2 linked regions of the Notamacropus eugenii genome follow. The protein of the gene in region 2 interacts with the protein of the main gene of each other region in a pairwise test. Links are inferred from orthologs where the notes say so. Each region holds a gene or a part of one and is shown on either strand. Other genes may lie near its edges.

Region 1 (8,002 bases), on a different chromosome or scaffold from region 2:
TAGCCAAATTGTCTCAAAGATATTTGTTTTATCCTTAAGACACATTTTGCTTGTGGTCCTTAATGGATTTTTCCCCATGTGTATCCATGAGTTTCCATTTATAGGAAAATGTTTTATAGTCATGCTCTGGGAACTTATTAAGATTGTATAATAGGAAGGGTCTTTGGAGATAATCGAGTCCAGCCCTCTCATTTTACAGTTAAACAAAATGAAGTCCAGGAAAGTTAAGTAACGTATTCAAGGAAACACAAGTAGTAAATATCAGAAATAGAACTTGAGATCAGACTAACTTCAGAGCAGGTACTACTGTACAGTGTTGCCTGGACTTTGTATTTTCTGATTAGAGTTGAGTTAGATTGGATTTTTTTCCCCTATTTTTATTATATAAGATAGATATTGGGGAGATGTCTAATATATAAATATATAGATATGGGCTACAGTTGGCATAGGTAGATATATGGAATCTGGCTCACCTCTGAAGAAAGGAGGCTGTGCCTGCACTGTCCACAGTCTAGTTGGGTGTGTGGGGTAAAGAACAGGTAGGATTCAGGATCATTGAGTCTAGGTGAATTCTTCTCTCTCTGAGAGGGGTATCAAATCTTTGATCCTCTTTGAAAATGAAGGATGGACAATAATATGCTAGAATTATATCTGCTACTACTCAAGTAGTTTGGGGGTATTAGTCTGGGTTTAGAATAAAAGCTGCCAGCCCTGATGGCTTTCACTGGGGGAGGGTAGCCACTCACTCATACTCACTAGTTTTACTCCCACCAAATACTAGTTACACAAAAGTCCATCTTGAACCTTTTTGTCAAAGAAAGCAGCCAATTGGGGAAATGATACAGATAAGAATAAACAAAGAATCCTTGAGGGTCAAAGAGCTCTTCAATAGGGAAGGACACAAGGTTTCAACAAAAGCAAAGCCAGAGGGAAAAATCTTACCATGGTAATGTCCTCTATGGGGGTGCAAACACAGGAAATCAAGAGACACAGTGACGGGGGCAACTTCCCCATATAGCTGAGGCCCAGGAACTCGAGTGATTCATTCTAAAGTCCCTGCCTTGCCTGGTCTCTGTCAAAGTAGAAGTCCTCTGTTGAAGTCTCTATCCAACCCACTGAAATAAGTCCCTTATAGATACAAAAGATGAGCCCAATTTTCTCCCAGAATTCACATCCTCTAAAAGGTACATAGTGCAGATCATGAGACTGTCCATTGGAAAACCACTCAACTTGCTTCGGTGGGAGTGAATATTATAGTTATATTTCCTGTCTGTCAATTACTTAACATCAATTGCTTAAGTATCCACCTAGTAAGGCCCCCTCATACTTGGCACTGGCAAAGTAAAGGGAGACAGGGATGGAATCGAGGTGAAGACTAACTCTTCTTCTCAGGAAGCTGACATCAAAATTGAGGTGATAAGACTCACTTGGAATAATTTAAGGACCTTTTATAACACGTTATGCAAAAGAAGGAAATTAATAGAGTACGTCAAACCCCTAGGTACATGAGTACGATTCTTCACTCTGTTTCCTTTGGCCCTCTAAAAGGAAAGAGTTGGGTAACTTGTGAAAAGGGGGGCAACTAGATGGTACAAAGGACAGAGCACTGCTGTGCTTAGAATCGGGGAAGATCTAAATTCAGCTCTACCTCAGACACTTACTAGCTATGTGACCCTGGGCAAGTCACTTAACTCTGTTTGCCTCAGTTTCCTCATCTGTAAAATGAGATAGAGAAGGAGATGTCAAAACACTCAAGTATCTTTGCAAAGAAAACCCCAAATGGGGTCCCAAAGAGTTGGACATGACTGAAAAACAACAATGCTTGCGAAGGATCATAGAAGAGGGGACTGTGGAGATCATCTCATCCAATTTCTTCATGATCCATGTGAACTAACTGAGCCTCAAAGAAGTGGAACGACTTGCTCAGGTAATATCATTATCTAGGTAATAAGAAGCAGAAAAAGGTTTTGATGACAAAAGCGATGACTCTAAATCTAATGTCTTTTGTATTATCCTGTGCTGTTTCCTTTCAGCTTATGCTATTTCTGCCCAAGAGATGAGTGATCCTGAAATCATTGAAGAAAGAATAACACCCATTGATCTTAAAGAGCGAGTTCCCAGAGTAGTGTTAGAAAGTATTTTTCTTTCAGGAGCTATTGATCCCTAGAGAAAAGACAAAGCACGGGTCTGGTTATTGATTAAAAGCCCCTCATCAACACTCTATTGCCTAAAGAGTAAGTTCCAAATTCATTGCTTGGCATTTGAAGCCCTTCACACTTTACCTTTTTTACCTTTACAACTTTGTTTTACCTTATTCCTCTTTCAGATCTTCTGGGCTCCACAGTGCTCCCCTCTCCTACACTTTACCCTTTTGTTCAGTTGTTTTTCAATTGTCTGACACTCTGTGACCTCATTTAGGGTTTTCTTAGCAAAGATATTGGAGTGGTTTACCATTTCCTTTTCTGGCTCATTATATAGTTGAGGAAACTGAGGCAAACAGAGTTAAATGACTTGCCCAGGGTTGCACAGTAAGTATCTGAGGCCAGATATGAACTCAGGAAGAGGAGTGTTCCTGACTCCATGCCTGGCACTCTGTGCACTATGGCATCACCTAGCTGCCTATGCACTGTATTGTCCTACACTCCACTGCTGGTCTATGCTCCAGCCAAACAGGACCAGTCACTGAGCTTCATAAATACCCCGTACTTTTCTGTCCCTGTTCACATTTTTCTCTAGTCCTAGAAAGCCCTCCTCCCCTATTTTATTCTCTTGAATTTTTCTGCATCCTTTAAAACCCAACTAAAAGCCATTTCATCCAGTCAGCTATTGCTGAAATTCCCAGACTGCTAACAATCTCCTCCACACCCACTCCTTGGACCTCTTTGTACTTCTCTTATGTACATATAATAGTGTATACTATTGTTTTGTATATGTGTGTCATTTCCCACAATTTGGGATACAAACTCCACAAAAACAGAATTCACATCTTTAATGCCTACCTCAATGCTTAACACAGTTGTTGTTGTCCTTTGTCCTTCATTCAATGACATCAGGAGGGTGATATCTTGACTTGCAAGTGACCTGGATTTAAATGAAGCAGGGCTGTGCAAAATCAGCCTCACTCTCTCCTCCAGTCATCAGAGTCGAGTGGCAAGACATAAGACAAGTTGACTGGCGATGCCCCCAGATGCAGCGGAGACCATGACCTTTTTAAGCTAAGGTCTTTCTCAGGTCTCAGTTTCTCTGAGGCAACATCTACTTAGTAATTTAAGGCTCAGTGAGAATTGAGGCAAAAGATGGTTTAGTTCAGGGGTGGGGAACCCGTGATCTGAGTCTAAGTTTTACAGAACAAACCTTTAATTAAGGGGATTTGTTCTGTGAAGTTTGGATTCAGTCAAAGGACCTTGAAGTTGCAGGTTCCCCACCCCTGGTCTAGTTTGACTTGATCTGGAAGAGGAACACTCTCAAAGTTTCTGGCCAGAACAGAAACAATTGTTATTTTGCTGGCCCTCTGAGCCATAAAATCTAAACAATGAGTAAGTGAGGCTTGGGCTGGAACCTGTTATTGGCCAGTCAGTGAGAGACAGGGTGATTGGATTTTAAAGTCTCAGTCAAGTATTTCCATTTGAATACCAATGGGTTTTATCAAAGTCTGGTTTGTCAAAGCTATATTTCTAGAAAACATAAAGGAAAACTACATTAAAAAAGAGTTAATTGTCCCAAATTAATGGGAAAAAATAATAGAATAAATAAATAAATGGAGAAGAAAAAGATCTAGCCCCCTCGAAACGTAAGTGAAAAAAACTGCATAAAAGGCTCCTCATGTGCACAGAGGGAGGAAGGGGGGGATGAGGAGAGAAATGGCAGCATATTTTATCTTCATACCTACCTCAATGCTTAATGTTGCTATTGATTGTCCTTAATTCTCAAATAGGACCAATGTGTGTGTGTGTGTGTGTGTGTGTGTGTGTGTGTGTGTGTGTGTTCGTCCTTCATTGCTGAAGAAGACCATGCTATCAGAGAAATAATGACATGACTTGCACTTGAGTTTGTTTTGAGTGAGGGAGGGCTGTGCAGGTCACCAGCCTCACTTCTCCTCCAGAGCCATCTGAATCCAATGATCAGATATTCATCAGGATGACTGGAGATGACCCAGGATGAGGCAATTGGGGTTAAGTGACTTGCCCAAAGTCACACAGCTAGTGAGTGTCAAGTGTCTGAGGTGAGATTTGAACTCAGGTCCTCCTGACTCCTGCACTGGTGCTCTATCCACTGCACTACCTAGCTGCCCTAATAGGACCAATGACATCAGGAGGGTGATGTATATGAATTGGATTTAAGCGAAGCAGGGCTGCTCAAAGTCATTGGCCTCACTGTCTCCTCCAGGGTCATCAGAATTTAGAGTCAAGACATAGGTCTGGATGACTGGTGATGGACTCGGGCTTAACACCGTGCTTTCCACATATAAGTCCTGAATCAATGTGCGTTGAGTTAATATCTGTGGGAGACTGGCTCAAATCCAACATGTCATTCACTTCAAAGGAGGCAGAGAGCATGAAAGACACCTATATTAGTACAATGAGATTGGTGGAGTTACCTAACACTATTGTTTTAATTGTACTGTTCATGGTCATCAACCAGTAATTATTGAAAATCAAGATTGTCCAGCCATGAAACAAAACAGTGCTTTGTCTCAGGGCTGATGTTGATTTGGCATTGGCGAGGAAAAGTAGCTGTTACTCCCGAGTGAGGAAAGGGAAGATTTTTCCTTCTTGATTATTGGCTTTGTGGCTGATTGATGTGGCTGCAGTTTTTCCACTTTCCTTCTCAAATCAGGCCCTTCATGCACATGCCTTTTAAATTTGCAATCAAGCAATCATAGGCACAACATATATGTACGTATGTATATATTTGTATGTATAGGGTTGATTGGGATATGAAGATCCAGAATAAAACACAAATTTTATTTTTGTGATACAATTGAGTCTCTGCAATGTCTTTTACCCTAAAAGGTTTGGAGTCAGCAAGGAACTCAGAAGAAAGGGAATAATAACAATAATGTTTTTAATGGGGGCAGAGCCAAGAAGGCAAAGAAAAGGAATGAACTTGCCTGAGCTCTCCCACATTCCCTTCCAAACAACTTTAAACCAATGCCTCAAAAATAATTCTGGAGCCACAGAATCAACAAAAGGATGGGGTGAAACAATTTTCCAGCCTAAGACAATTTAGAAGGTTGGCAGAAAATCTCTGTCACTTGGGAGTGAGAGTGGAGTACAGGTCAGGCAATGACCCTGGCAAGTCAGCAGCTGTCCTTGGCGGCAACTGAATAAGCAGCAGCAGCTTCCAGAACTCTCGGCCCACAGATGGTAAGGGGGCCAGACAACTGGCCAGAAGGAGATTATGAGGGTACCCTTGCTGACACTGTATACAGGACTTGGTTGCATTGCCCATACATGAATCCAGGTCATAGTCCTGGATTGTAGTCCCAGGGCAAGGAGGAGCCACTTCTGCTGCTACGGGGGAGTTGGGTCATAGTTCCAAGTTGGAAGAGAGTGCTGTGGTCACTCACAGCCTAGGTAAACGCACCTCTCCTTAGATCATACCACCTTGGTAGAACTAAAAACTTACAGACCCCAAGAACTAGCTCTGAAAATGACTGCACAAAAAAACCCCAAAGCATGAAACAGTGCCCCCTCCACCCTAGGATCAGAACCCAACTTTGGCATAAAGTTAAACGTCAATAAATAGGTTGGAAAAATGAGTAAACAGCAGCAACAAAATGACCTGACCATAAAAAGTTACTCTGGTGACAGCGAAGACCAAAACACAAACTCAGAAGATGATAAAGTCAAAACTGCTGCATCTGAAGCCTCAATGAAAAATATGAATTGATCTCAGCTCTACCTTCCCCCACGCAGAATTCCTGGAACAGCTCTAAAACGTTTTTTAAAAATCAGAGAGGTAGAGGAAAAATTGGGAAAAGAAATGAGAGTGATACAAGAAAATCATGAAAAAAGAATCAACAGCTTGGTAAAGAGACACAAACACACACAAAAAACTCTGAAGAAAATAATACCTTAAAAATAAAACAGACCAAATGATAAAAGAGGCACAAGAATCCACTGAAAAGAACACCTTAAAAAGAAGAATTAGCCAAATGGAGAAAAGATGTTCAAAAATTCATTGAAGAAAAGAAAAAAATGGATATTTAATGAAATAGAGGACTTTCAAGCATTCCTGATGAAAACACTAAAGCTGAATAGAAAATTTGGTTTTCAAATACAAGACTCAAGAGAACCATAAGGCAAAGAGGAAAGAGAAATCATGAGAGAGAGAGAGAGAGGAATTGAGAGAGGCAGAGACAAAGACAGTGAGAGACAGAGAGATTGAGTGAGAGGGATTGAAAGAGGTCAAGACAAAGAGAAAGAAAGAGAGACAGATAATAAGAAACAGAGACTGGGAGAAAAAGACAGGGTTTGAGAGAGAGGAACTAAGAGACAGAGACAAAGAAAGAAAGAGAGAGACAGAGAGTGAGAGAGAGACAGAGAGATTGAGAGAGAGTTTGAGAGACAGAGACTAAGAAAGACAGAATAAGAGAGAGACAGAGAAACTTAGAGAAGGAAAATGCATTAGGTACAGTTCTTAGTAACAAGAGCTCACTCTTCAGGGCCCAATTTTTTGCAGTTCTTACGCTGAAGGGAATTAATATCACTAGACCTATTGAAAAACAATCCAAAATATCACTATATGAGTATGTTATTTTGGATTGGGCTATGTTTCTCTAAGGTTTTTACATAATGCTGAGCAAAAGGTGACTTGGTAACACAGGATCCAACCTGTGGGAAGGAGAAGGGGGAAAGGGATGCTTCTTCCCCTTTGCCTTTGTGACTGGTACCTGGTCACCAAGGACTCCCTTTCCTCTCCATCCTTATTCCTAGAATACCAGCAGCAGCCCCTCTTTCTCCCTCCAGCCCAAGACAGTTTGCCTACATCACGTCCATGTTTGGGAGCGTACAATATGTGGGACACCTGAAAACAGCAATCTTTGTGGCAATGGAAGTGACGTGTGTATATTCCAGTCTCCCCAACAGGCACCTCAGAGTCTTTGTTCCCCTCTGAATTGAATTTGCCCTGGTTCCTTGAATTTCAAGTTATGACTCTGGACCTTAGAAAGAGTTTTATCATCAGACTCATATTGACAGGTCCGATCCTATCTTATGAAACAGGCAAATATGCACTTTGGCTTCTTTCTAGAGGCAGGTAGGTGGTACAGTGGAGAGTTAGGATGCTGGACCTAGAGTGAGGAAGACAAGTCACATCTAATCTCAGACACTTACTATGTGGCACTGGGCAAGTCACTTAATTTCTGTCTTCCTCAGTTTTCTTAACTGTAACATGGGGATGATAATGATACCTACCTTACAGGGCTGTCATGAAGATCAAATGTGATAACATTTATGAAGTGCTTAGAACAATGACTGTCACACTGTAGGCACTTAAAAATGTCAATTCTACCTTTTATTTTCTCCTTCATTATGCCCCAAAATCCTGTCAATCTTCAATCTCCATCATCTTTCTGCTGCTGGCTGACCAGAGGAGGCTCACACTGAGGTAGCAACAAGATGGGATGGTGAAAAGAACACTGGACCTTGAAGATAGGGGGCACTTGAGTTGAAATCCCAGATCTGGCCCATAGTAGCTGTGTGACCAAGGGCAAGTCACTTTATCTCAGAGACTCTACTTATGAAATGGGTATAATAATATTAAAATCATCAGCTGCATAGAGAATAGAAGAGGGAAGCATTTTATAAATGTTAACACATTATATAAATGTGAAGTATGACTCGTATCTCTGGAATCAACACACACAGTCTTGACTTTCCCCTGGCAGCCCCAGTCAAGGGTGGAACCAGTATCTGAGGGCTGTGGAATCTTTTAGAGATATCGCTCAAATCACACCTTCTCGCAAAAGTAACCACCTGCTCTGTTTCCCGACATGACC
Region 2 (7,237 bases):
GCTAATTGTTAGGAGGATTTTCTGGACCTGGAGTCAGGAAGACTTGAGTTCAAAAGTAGCCTCATACACTTACTTAAGTGACCCTGGGCATGTCGCTTAAGCCCATTTGCCTCAGTTTCCTCAACTACAAAATGGGAATAATCATAGCACCCATCTCTCAAGAATATTGTGAGGGTCAAGAGATGATACGTGTAAAGCATTTAGCCCAGTGCTTGGAACAGAGTAAGCGGCATATAAATGTCGACTATTACTTCGTTTTTATTGATATCAAGCCCAAAGATTCCTCTCTGCAATGTTCACTCATAGCTATTGGCTGTGCCCTCTGGGACAAATATTTCAAATATATGAAGCCCCTCCTCTCCCTGAGATATCCCTCAGCTCCTCCAACAGATTCAAAACCCTTCCCTCTGTAACCCTGACTCTCCTCTGAACCCTCTCCAATGAATCGGCCTCCTTCTTAAACTTGGATTTTGGAATAGAATCTGACAAAGGTAGAGGACAGTGGGACCAACCACTGGAAGATGCACTCCTCATGGTACAGCCCAAGACTGCATGAGCATTTCTGGCTGCTTCCCCCCACTGCTGATTCATACTGAACTTGTGGTCCATTAAAATCCTCAGGTCCTTCTCTGAACTGTTATCTAACCAGGCTCCCCACCAATCTTATGTTTGTGAAGTTGATTTTTTGTACCCAATTACAAGACTTTAAAATGATCATTATTGAATCTCATCTTATTTCAGGCAGTCCAAAGCTCTGGCCTGTTGTAATCTTTTTGGATCCTGACTGTCATTCAGTATCAGTGGTGTCCCAGCTTCGTGTCATTGGCAGATTTAATGAGCAGGTCATCTATGCCTTCATACAAGTCTGTCATGGACAAAAGATTATATATCCCAGTGCCAGACTGAGAGACCTCAAGCTGCAGTGACATGGAATCATGAGTCCAGCCATCCAATCAGTTCTGTATACCACTGATTTTATCCTCACCTAATCCCTATCTCTTAGTATGATGGACTTTATCATAAACTTTGCTAAAATCCAGGTATAAAATGTAGTCATAAAATTCCCCTCTCTACCAGCCTAGTAATCTTATCCCCAAAGGAAGCTAACGCATCATGGAATTCCTCTGGTCCCTACCCCTCACTCCTCACATCTTTCCCTTCATAAGAGTCTAAATTTGTCCCCTGGCCTCGGTTTCCTGCTCCCTAAATCATGGGGTTGGATTAGTCAATGATTCTTAACCTAGGGACCCCATCCACGTGGATAGATATCAAAGGATCTGTGAATGCAGATTGGGGAAGGTGGGGGCATACATATTTTCCCTAACCTTTAACTCAAATTTAGCATTTCCCTAAATTATTTGTAAACATGACTGGGCAGAGGTTCATTGGCATCACTACTAGACTGCTCCCCAGGAGATCAGGACACAAAAGAGATGGAGAAGCCCTTGGTGTGGATGCCTCCCAGGTCCAAGTCTTACTATTCTACTGGCAGAGACTGTGTATTACCTACCTCTGTGTTCTGATGGAACTCATCACTATTGGAGAACTTCCTGAGGGCAGAGACTCTGGGTTTTCTCTAAAGGTTTTCCCCATTCCAATGTCCAGCACAAGGCTTTGTATATAGTAGATGCATAATAATTGTTGGTTAAGCATGAATCTGTTGTTGAATGGGCTTTTTCTGCCTAATGGGTATAATAATCCTTGCACTGAGAGCCAGCCTTGAAACTGGGAAGACCTGAGTTCAAATCTTGCTTTTAACACATAACTAGCTGTATGGCTTTAGGCAGCTCATTTAAGCTCTTAGTCCCCACCCCAGGCAAGACCATGAGTTATAGATGAGTTCCCTAGCTTTATCAGAAGAAAGACTTTTCCATGCAGTTTCAATAAAACCTTTGTCTGGACCAAACAAAAGAAACCCTTGGACTCCCAACCTCCTAGGAGAGCAGAGAGAGATGCTATAAAAAAATGAACTCTAGTGGTCACATCAAGTTAGGGGGCAGAAACTCCAGCCTCCCAATGTCGTTTTCTTTGCACCTTAGGCAAGAAGGGAGGCAGGGTGGTATGGGGTAAAGAATCCTATCTCTGGAGCCAAAGAACCTGGGGTCAAACCCTGCCTCTCTTATTTATTCCCTGCTGTTTGACCTTGGGCAAATCACGTCCTATCCTTGGGTCTCAGTTTCATCAATGACCTCGAAGGTCTCTTCCAGTTCTAATCTATGGTCCAGTGAAGAAAACCTCACTGGACTGGCTGGTGTGAGAAGCCCTGGCCTCTGTGGTGGGTTGTGGGTGGGGCACTCACCTTACAGGTTTCAGCTGAGCAGTGTCCATGGGTCCTGGGGAGATGTCAGCACACGGCCTCCTAAGGTCCACTTCTCTCTTTTCCAGGCCAAGGATCGTCTGGGCCCCTCTGCTGGGATGGCTACAGCTGCTGGGGTCTACTTCATGGTGCACAGGTAGAGTCCACCAGGCCCATCTGAATAAACACCCCAGAGGTCTCTCCCAATTCTTTGCTCAGGGGTCGCTGGGCCCAGGAGGTGATGAAATCAGTTTCTTGCCCTGCTTTCCCATGGTTATAGTGGTGGGATGGAGTGTGGGGGTGGTCCAGCTTAGTGGTGCTGGAGGCCCTTCAGACTAGGCCCTCAGATATAAGAGTCTTTGGATGCTCAGGAGGCCTGGACCCAGGTCCAAGGGTCCCTCATCCCTTCTTAAGCCAGCCAGCTCTCTCCAGCCTTCTGTTCTCACCCCTCCCAAACAGGTGGATCTCTTTCTTTCCAACTGCTTTCACCCTCCTCACTCAGTGGGCAGGGTATGGACACCTTCTGAGGCAGGAGGGAACAGAGGGGCCCCTTCAGTCTTCAGGTAGCCAACCAACCCCTCTGCACCTCTCTCCTAGGCCCTGGGGGTTTTGTCAGGGTGGGTCAGCCCCCAGGGCCCCTCCCTCCTCTGCCCACCTCCAACAGGGGGTCCTGCTCTAAGCCTACTGAGTAAGATGGCTCTTGGGTTGGTGTCCAAGGGCCTGGGGGGCTGTTGGGAGACCACTGTGATGCGCCCCTGTCGCTGTGGTTACCCTAAGTGTATGATGATGTCAGCATTCTGAGGGCTGGAGCCCCACACTGTCCAACTACAGTTATCTCCCTGGGACTTGTAGTTTGCTGTGTCCATACTGTCTAAAGCTCTGTGTCCAGCCTGTTTCTATCACAATCTAAATAATAATATTAATTGTTATAATGTCATTAACTTAATCTTGATTTCTTTGAAAGGTATCTAGCCTTGGAGTCAGGAAGACCAAATCAAAAGTATGCTGGGTCTGCAGTCAGAGGCTCTTGGTTCAAATCTCACCACCTGTGACCTATAACCTTGATCTTGCAAAGCCATACCTGGGCTCATCTTTAGAATGAAGAAAACATTCCACATGACCTTTAAGATCCCTCATTTTTAACTCTGTGACCCTTTGCTAGCCTGTTGACCTTGGACAAGTCCCTTAGGCTCTTCCTGGGTCAGTCTCAATCCTCTAAGGCCTCTCTCTAGGACTATGTCATTCTGTATTGACAAAGGGAATTTCCATAATGGGAGTTCCCTAGACAGGTGATTACAAAATCGCTATTATATTTAATTAATTTAACACTATTATACTACTGTCTCACTACCAGGTAGGCTAGAGAAAGAGAATGTTTTCAGGCACAACCCATTACTCTCATAAACTGTCCATTAAATCTCAGAAGGGTTAGGCTTTACAGCTTATCCAGTCTGTATAAATATGAATATATATAATATATACAAATATAAAAATTGAGCACCTGTGCTAATGAGATCCTTGAAACATGATTTATGATATATTATAAAATAAAATAAGTTATTGGGCTCATTAATGTGCTTAATAATATTTAATATTTAAATAATACTTTTATTAATATGATAAGGAAGGAGGAAGTACCTGGGAGCCAAGAGGGTGGTTGACAGCATCAAAGACTGAACAGAAGTCAAGACGGACAAGGTCAGCAAAAGACCAGTGCAGCAGTCCAAAACTCCTTAATCCCATTTTACAAATGGGGACACTGAGGTGCATGCCACTGGTGAGAGGGCTTGCCCAACACCGTGTGGGGGAATAAGGCTCATACACAGAATACGAACTCTGTTCCCTTGACTTTAATAGAAGTACTCTTCGAATATCACACCCTAGCTAGAATTAGTCCCCCAATTTATAGATGAGAAAACTGAGACCCAGAGAAGAAAAACTTAAAAAAAAAAAGAATAGATTTTTATTACTTTTTTGTCTTCATATCACCTGGATTTTCTCCTCTATCCCTCCCCTTCCCTCTACCATCTATTCCCTATAACAAGGAATTTATTTTCTAAAAAAAGAAAAGAAAAAAATTCAACAAAAACTAATCAGTTCATTGGAAAAAAATTGATATGATAGGCAATGTTGTGGGCCCCATCCCCTAGCTCAAAAAGGAGGGGGAGGCATGGAAGTAGCTTTCCTGACACTCCTTGGCAGGTCCCCTGATTTTAAGTCTAAAGCTCTTTCCACCACCCACCTAAGAGGCTGTAACAAGAATGAGAGAGTCACGGACCCCTAACTCTCCCCAACTCATCTTAAAGGAGCTCAGCTTGCCCTCACAACACAGACTTTTTCTCAGGAAAAAAAGGAAGGTCAAGGGGCCAGCAGGAGGGCCCTTTGGGGCTAAGGCACCCTCCAGTGGTCGCTCTGGGAGAGGCAGGGACTTGAAGCCCAGAATCCTCACAAAGCTCCCCTCCTGCCTTGGCACCCTAATGGAAAGAAGAGGGAGTATGAGGCTCCCTAAATCAGCATTTCCCAAACTCCCTGGGCCTCAGGACACTGAGGGAGGGGAGGACCTGGTACCGAGTGAGGGAACTTGGAAATGCTCTCAGGCTGGCTGAGCCCTACACATTTCACCTCTTTTGTTACTGCAAGTGTTTTCTGTGCCCTCTAAATCTGATGCCCTGAGACAAATCCCAGTTGCCCTGCCCTGATTTTGACTCTTGTTAGTGATCAACAGATGGTCCTTTGTTTACCCTTGCTCTTTGAAGGCAATGTACCATTTCCCAAATGCAGCCTAGTCCATTTGTGGGGTCATAGATTTACAGCAGGGAGGGGCCTCAGAGTTCATCCAGTCAAAGCCCCCACCGCCCGTTTATAAAATGAGAAGTCTGAACTTGACCTCAGAGGGTGCTTCTAGCTGAGGAAGGTTGGCTTTTGAAAGCAAACACTTTGAGATTAGAGAGAGGGTGATTCCATGTTTTCTTTCTTTCTCTCTTTCTCACCTCCTTCCTTCCCTCCTTCTCTCCTCCTTCCTTACTTTCTTCTTTTTTTGCTAATTTGCATATTTCTTGTAATGTGTGCTTTTATTTTAATTTTAGCTTTATTTTTGTCTGTGTGTTTTTATATTTTAGGAAAATGTCACTGATATCTCTGGTTTTCATATCACATCCGTTTTCCCAACATCCCTCCATCCTCTGAGAGAGCTAGACCTCATCACAAAGAGTGAAAAAGAGGGGGAAGACAGTCTGTCAGAAGGCACTGACGCATCAGCCAAGTCCAGTATCATCCCATGCACTGACTTGCACCCATAAGCACCCCCTGGACCTCTCCTACCCTTCACCCCTCTTATATCAGCCTGTTTCAATGCTTTGCTTACCTATATGTGTTGTTAAAGAAGGTGCCACCTGCACTGGACTCTCTTTCCAATGTCAGTGAAGGCCAGGGTGAGGAGTCTGAACTTCATCTCATGGGTAACAGGAAGTCACTAAAGGTTTGTGAAGGCCAGCAAAGGTCGAGATGTGCACATAAGCCTTATTATAATGGATCTGTGAACTCTCTGGTAACCCCTGGTGCTGATAGAAGCCCATCTTAGTCCTCTCCTCCTTAGGAAAGGAACTATGCCTTTAAGTCATTCAAGGTCACCTAAGATTTTGGGGTTTTCAGGGCAACCTCAGCTACAGTTAATCTCCCAGTCTGTCAATGGCCCACCATTGTCATGGAGGATAACAGAATCTTGTGCATTTGGAGAGGTCTAAGGTGAGAGATTAAATAATCTGTGACATCACTGGTATGAAGAACTCCAAAGTGAGGAAATTCCCTCCACTGAAGCAGGTTGGTTCCTTTTTTGCAACTTCTGGAGCACTGAGAGAATAGGGGACTTGGCCAGGATCACACGGCCAGTACTTCTCAGAATTAGGACTTGAACCTGCGTCTTCCAGTCTTAGAGGTGAGCTTCTATTGGTCATACCACACTGTCTCTCATACTGGATACAAAATCAACTTTTGTTGTGTTGAGTTTTTGTAGAGACCGTTCTTGTTTGTCCGTCATTGCTAAAGAAAATCAATGATATCCTGGGGTGATGCCTTGACTTGTGTATAAAGTGGATTTAAGTGAGGAAGAGCCTCACAAAGTTGTCTCTCTTCTAGGGTCATCAGAATCCAGTGGCAGGGCAAAAGTCAGGATGATGGCTATGGCCCAGGATGAGGTGGGTGACCTTGGCACCTTCCATGTCCAAACAAATGCTAAGTTCTCCGTCGCATGTGCTTTAGTCACCTTCGTGGCCGCTGGAACAAATCATTCTCCTGTACCCGTTCCACTGGGAAAAATCTTCACATGCTTGAGGCAGACACACTCCTAACTCACCAATGGGTTTGAGGTCCATCAGTTACCTGTTACCTGGTTTAGTCCATCCAGCTTCTTGGAGTCACAGGTGAGAGCTGGGTGACACGTACACGAAAGGTGGATGAGCAGTCCTCCCACCAGAGGTGCTGGTCCTCCCTAAATACCTCACACATCTCACGTGTGCAAAGGTGAACTGGAAATACATTACCCTCAAATCCACCAAGGGACTTTAATTTTAGTTTAAAGTGATGCCTTTCATTCCTACTGTCCCTCCCTTGACACATGAGAAAGCTATTAAATCTCTCAGTGCCTCAGATAGCTCTCTAAAATGATCATTTGTAGAGGGGTTGCAATCTGCATTGGTAAAGAGAGTTCTCTCTTTAGTAGTTCCACATATCAATGAACTCTCAAGTTCATACCTACACCTATCCTTGTGTTTTTATAGCCCAAGCATTTCCAGCTGTTTCTCTTTCCCAGCCCCAGACATACATGCCCACAATCATGTGAGTCTTCCCTTATAACAAAGAAAACCAGCTCTCACCATAACCTTATCTGATGGTGTGGTCAACATTCTGCACCCATAATCTCTCACCTCTCCAGTCAAAAGAGGG

Evidence for each region.
Region 1: the proteins of RAB3IL1 (region 2) and RAB11A interact in a two-hybrid assay, tested with the Homo sapiens proteins (2 studies listed by BioGRID and IntAct). The two-hybrid records come from large-scale screens. The link is inferred for Notamacropus eugenii from reciprocal best matches to the Homo sapiens genes RAB3IL1 and RAB11A.

What each region holds. Positions count from the first base shown.
Region 1 is NC_092872.1:128,251,767-128,259,768, reverse strand, and holds the start of RAB11A (ras-related protein Rab-11A), read right to left. Parts: upstream 3,016-8,002; 5' UTR 3,000-3,015; intron 1-2,999. UniProt on the Homo sapiens protein: The small GTPases Rab are key regulators of intracellular membrane trafficking, from the formation of transport vesicles to their fusion with membranes.
Region 2 is NC_092873.1:13,633,801-13,641,037, forward strand, and holds the start of RAB3IL1 (guanine nucleotide exchange factor for Rab-3A), read right to left. Parts: upstream 3,005-7,237; 5' UTR 2,329-3,004; coding exon 2,300-2,328; intron 1-2,299. UniProt on the Homo sapiens protein: Guanine nucleotide exchange factor (GEF) which may activate RAB3A, a GTPase that regulates synaptic vesicle exocytosis. Promotes the exchange of GDP to GTP, converting inactive GDP-bound Rab proteins into their active GTP-bound form.